Linked DNA regions of Saccharomyces cerevisiae S288C. The main gene of each other region encodes a partner of the protein of the gene in region 2 in a complex. Each region holds a gene or a part of one and is shown on either strand. Other genes may lie near its edges.

What was found. The genes of interacting proteins can lie anywhere in the genome.
Region 1: LSM6 (region 2) and LSM7 share a complex: the UniProt entries of both Saccharomyces cerevisiae proteins name them as parts of the spliceosome U4/U6-U5 tri-snRNP complex.

Annotation. Positions count from the first base shown.
Region 1 is NC_001146.8:349,021-351,883, reverse strand, and holds LSM7 (Sm-like protein LSM7), read right to left. Parts: upstream 945-2,863; coding exon 927-944; intron 831-926; coding exon 501-830; downstream 1-500. Other genes in the region: YNL146W (uncharacterized protein), read right to left, coding at 1-169; YNL146C-A (uncharacterized protein), read left to right, coding at 304-498; ALF1 (Alf1p), read left to right, coding at 1,213-1,977; PGA2 (Pga2p), read left to right, coding at 2,128-2,517. UniProt on the Saccharomyces cerevisiae protein: Component of LSm protein complexes, which are involved in RNA processing and may function in a chaperone-like manner. Component of the cytoplasmic LSM1-LSM7 complex which is involved in mRNA degradation by activating the decapping step.
Region 2 is NC_001136.10:1,228,849-1,231,560, forward strand, and holds LSM6 (U4/U6-U5 snRNP complex subunit LSM6), read right to left. Parts: upstream 762-2,712; coding exon 501-761; downstream 1-500. Other genes in the region: ATP17 (F1F0 ATP synthase subunit f), read left to right, coding at 1-68; GTPase-activating protein RGA2, read left to right, coding at 1,319-2,712. UniProt on the Saccharomyces cerevisiae protein: Component of LSm protein complexes, which are involved in RNA processing and may function in a chaperone-like manner. Component of the cytoplasmic LSM1-LSM7 complex which is involved in mRNA degradation by activating the decapping step.

The DNA.
Region 1 (2,863 bases), on a different chromosome or scaffold from region 2:
TAACTGAGTTTGAATTCTTTTTGTAAAATCGTGGCAGTAGTTCTTGAAATGTCATTTTGAAGGACACTGAGTTTCGAAATATCAACATTATGAGTATGAATAAAAGTGTAAGGATAATGATCCTTTTGAGTTCCATGTGATGAGAAGTGGTATGCTTAGTATTGCTCATACTGGACAAATACGAAAGGAATCAGTAAATAATTAAGATTGTAGAGGGAGGGGTGTATGTGTATGCGGATACTTTTTTGATTTGGCAGAAGGAAAATTGGTATTGGCAGCTGTACAGTGACTCCCCTTATACAAATGATCTCAGTTTGTTTCGTTTTTCCTCATTCTCTGGCTTTAGACTTCAAATCGCGGTGTAAAAAAAATAGGACAAAACTATGTAGCGCATACTATGTCAGTCAGGTATTGAGAATATGTAAAGAAATGCCATACCGTGATTTGATTTTGTTTTCAACTGTAAGGAAGGGAGTTTATATGAGATTATATTATTAAACCTATTTTTGCATATATAGTACATCAGAACCTTCGGCGGAACTTAAAGAGACCAAAATAGTACCTCTTATGACGGTCAAACCTAGCTTTCTTGCGTTTTTAGAAATCAGTTCAGTGTTGTTTTCATCATCAGGATTAGACATATATTCTACTGTATCATCAAGTACCAAGTTCATCAGTTGATCATAGCCTTTTAGGACACCTATAACTAATTTACCACCCATTAATTTGACGCGAATTTTAGAATCTTTATACTTCGCTAAATCCAGAATAGCTTCTCTTTTAGGGCCTTCGAATTTTTTCCTTTGCTGTTGTGGTTTGTTCTCTGATTTCTTAGTTCAAAAAGGAAACATAGTTATTATAATGTTAGTATAAATAAGTCAAAAGGAAGGTTATTGCCACGGAAGAAAATAAGAAGTGAAACATACGGAGTGTTGCTGATGCATGTTTTTTTGGTTAATGTTCTGTGTAGTAAACAAAGTGCTGCTCTCAAATAACTTTCTTTTTTACTGTAGTAGTATACACGTACATGCGTATTCTTAATTGTCGTTTCCCAGTTGTCTGTTTTCAGCTACAGCTTTTTTCGCCTTTGTTCGAAAGAACAGTACTTTTTTCCGGCTCGCAGGGAAACGGCAGTTGAAGAAGACAAGCGACAAGAACATAGAGCAACGAATTCAAATAAAGAGATAGAAAAAAAAATTACATGGCAAAACTATGGTTAGAGTTGTCATAGAGAGTGAATTGGTCCGTACAGAAAAGGAATTACCAAATTCGCTTAAATTAAGGCAGTTCAAGGACCGATTGTACCATGTTACCGGAGTGGAACCAGAGGATATGGAAATAGTTGTGAAAAGACAGTACGACAACAAGGAGATATATAGTACTAAAAAGGGGGGTGCCTATTCAAATGAGGATGAAGATGCCAACTTCCTAAAAGGAGAGGAGGAGCTTATTGTGGTTGTTACAGACTCTAATGCCCAATCAATCTCTAACCAGCTGGCCACGCAAGCGGAAGGAATCCCCTCAATGGAAGTAATTAGCGAGGAGGATTATTTGCGAAGGGATCAATCCGTATTACGATGGAAGATGGCTCACGGCTATGGTAGGTTTAATGCTGCACAGCAGAGCCAGCGCGCTGCGCTGGCAAAGCAGGACGAAGCATATGCCCGAGAGCAATTAACGGCGGCTATCGGCCGCCACTGTCGTGTCACAGTAGACGGGAGCGCTCCACGTGAGGCCATTTTACGGTACGTAGGACCACTACCGTTGGACGTGATGGGCACATGGTGCGGTGTGGAATTCCCGGAAGCCGCAGGCAAAAACGATGGGCGCATAAATGGGGTAACACTGTTTGGGCCTGTGGCGCCGGGTCACGGATCGTTTGTGCGTCCGCGGGCTGTGGAAATTCTATCAAAAGACGAAGAATCCGCCGAGGTGGAAGACGTCCATGATGACGTGGAGAGCGATGATGAAATTTGAATTTGTGCAGAATTAGCGCGGTGGCGGTTTAGTTAGTGATCTCCATCCGATGTCAACATATTATTATTTGTAGTTGTATTTATGTGCACTCGGCGGTTTGTATGAGGAAAAGATGTTATGAAGAGAAAAACTGCCGAGTAATTGAAAGAGATGTCTGAAGTAGCGGAAACATGGGTGGATACCTGGATGGCAAAACTAGTCAACTATGACTACAAGCACTTTATAAGATTGGTGATAATTGTAGGTGGTTATTTACTCTTAAGAAATATCGCATCCAGGGAATTGGCGAAGAAGCAGTTGGCTGCCCAAGTGGAAAAGGACAAACGAGACAAAGAGGAAAAGAGATCAAAAGACCTGATCGACAAGCCAGATGATGCTGCAACAGCAGAAACAACTTCTTTCGGTTGGGGTAAGAAAACTAGAAGAAGAGTTAAAAGACAACAGGAGTTGTTTGAAAACGCTTTGGAAGAGGCTAAGAGAAGAAACCAAGGGTTGGACCCAGATAGTGATGCTGATATTGAGGAACTACTGGAAGAATAGGCTCTCTGTGTATGTATGGGTTCCTCTTTGTCATTGTGACATTGTTTTGTTTTTAGTTTTTCTATAGTTTTCTGATAAAATAGTCTAACCATTACCGATGTTGCTACTTGCATCATTCTCAACGTCTAATCAACTTGCGTTTGCGTCTCAAATTGAGTTTGTAGGTTACGTGTCGCCTTAATAGTCAGCAAATGCCGACGTTTGTGAGACGGATAACGACTGCGATGATTCCCATTCCGCATGAATGATGCAATTCACAATTCAAACACGATATCAAACGACTAAGCCGTGAATTAACGGCTAGAATGCAAAAGAAAATGGGTAAGAATTGATTTATGTAGATACG
Region 2 (2,712 bases):
TTGCCTTTGGCTATTCCATGGAATATTATTTTCATTTGAGACATCATAAAGGTGCGGAAGAGCATTGAACGTGGAGTTTTACTTTTGTAGAAAATTCTTTATTTTAAGCCTTTTTAAACCAAACATGCAAAGAGAAGAAAAACTTTTTGGTAAATCCAAATAATTTTTGAGCGAAATTGAAAGGAGTACATAAGTGATAGAACAAAATTTCGTTGTTTTCATATGTCTATAAGGAAACTCCGTCACTTTCTGGCTCTATTCATTTTTTCTTTAGTAAAGCATAAAAATAATGAGACGGAGAGTAAACTTTACAATATATATTCATAAAAATTCATTAAAATAAAACTGTTCGATCCTATTCGATATACACACACACATATATATATATATGTATATAGATATGGGTGTGTTTGTGTGTATCCGTGCTAAACTCGCAAATGCAACTTTATGTCAAACCAACTTGCTCATTCCTACATATTAATCCATTAGAGGAGATAAGTCTATATTTTTTGTTCACTGATATACATGACCTGCGTGCCCCTCAAAAAGACATCACTATTGAACTTATTTAGAAGCTTATTGTTATTACTCTCGTAGTGTTCAGTGGCACTCGATAGTGCAACATTCATAAAACCATCAATGGATTCCAATCTTCCGCTGTAGAGTAAACCCGAGGCAAGTTTGACGTTCACTGTCTTACCAATGATATCAGAGAGAAACTCCGTAGTAACGCTACCCTCTGTAGAAGCTTTTCCGGACATCACTAATAATCTCTGCTTGTTTTGCTTATACTGTGCAATGCCATATTTTCTCGTTAATATGGCGTCTTGTGCATTATTGAATGGGTTGCTGCGACGTTGCTTATTTGGCATTGTACACGAACAGCTGCCCCCGGGTAAAATGTTTTAATAATAGAAATATCTTACATTAAACGGCTAAAAGAAAGGCCTATAGTCGTAATAACATTTATTTCCTACACATAACCCAGTTAATTAGCCACAGTGATATTCGATTTATGCCGCTTCAATTGTGCTTAAATCGTTGCATCGCTTCAGTAACTTTTAATTGTAATGATAATGCACGTCAATTTAGTTTCCCATTCGGGTAAACAGTATCAGGTCGAGATATGAAAATTGGCATTCCTTGGAGAATGTTAGCCAGAAGATCGATCAGTCGACTCCCCTATTGATTAACATTTCATCTTTGCATACTTGGCGTTTCTAATCCTTATCTTTTATTACCAAGAGTTCATTGTACTTTTAATAAAGTGAAATATAACGTAGCATCTCAAGAGCAAGGAGATTTTGATGAAAAAAATATGTCAGCTGACCCTATTAATGACCAATCGTCTTTATGTGTGAGGTGCAATAAATCAATCGCGTCTAGCCAGGTATACGAATTAGAAAGCAAAAAATGGCATGACCAGTGCTTTACATGCTACAAATGTGACAAAAAATTGAACGCAGATTCAGACTTTTTGGTTCTGGATATAGGTACATTAATTTGTTACGACTGCTCAGATAAATGTACAAATTGTGGCGATAAAATAGACGACACAGCAATTATACTGCCTTCCTCAAATGAGGCCTATTGTTCCAATTGTTTCAGATGCTGTCGGTGCAGCAACCGTATAAAGAACTTAAAGTATGCAAAGACAAAACGAGGACTATGTTGTATGGATTGTCACGAGAAATTGTTGAGAAAAAAACAACTATTACTGGAAAATCAAACAAAAAATTCATCGAAAGAAGATTTTCCCATAAAACTTCCTGAAAGATCAGTCAAAAGGCCCTTGTCACCCACCAGAATAAATGGTAAGTCAGATGTCAGTACAAACAACACCGCAATAAGTAAGAACCTTGTAAGCTCGAATGAGGATCAACAGCTCACTCCACAAGTTTTAGTATCACAAGAAAGAGATGAATCATCGTTGAATGACAATAATGATAATGATAACAGCAAGGACAGGGAGGAAACATCTTCTCACGCAAGGACGGTTTCTATTGACGACATTCTGAACTCTACTTTGGAACACGATAGTAATAGCATTGAAGAGCAGAGTTTGGTGGATAATGAGGACTACATCAACAAAATGGGTGAAGACGTAACCTATAGGCTATTAAAACCACAAAGAGCAAATCGAGATTCCATAGTGGTAAAGGATCCGAGGATCCCAAATTCGAACTCGAACGCGAATAGATTCTTTTCAATTTATGATAAAGAAGAGACAGACAAAGATGATACAGACAACAAAGAGAATGAAATCATCGTCAACACACCCAGAAATAGCACTGATAAAATTACAAGTCCTTTGAACAGCCCTATGGCTGTACAAATGAACGAAGAGGTCGAACCTCCGCATGGACTGGCATTAACTTTATCAGAAGCTACGAAAGAAAATAACAAATCATCTCAAGGTATTCAAACGTCAACTTCCAAATCTATGAATCATGTCTCCCCGATTACAAGAACCGATACCGTAGAAATGAAAACATCAACCTCTTCATCGACATTACGTTTGTCTGATAATGGAAGTTTCAGCAGGCCTCAAACAGCAGATAACTTATTGCCGCATAAAAAAGTAGCACCCTCTCCAAACAAAAAACTTTCAAGATCGTTTTCTTTGAAGTCCAAAAATTTTGTTCACAACCTGAAAAGTAAAACTTCGGAAATGCTGGACCCAAAGCATCCCCATCACAGCACTTCTATACA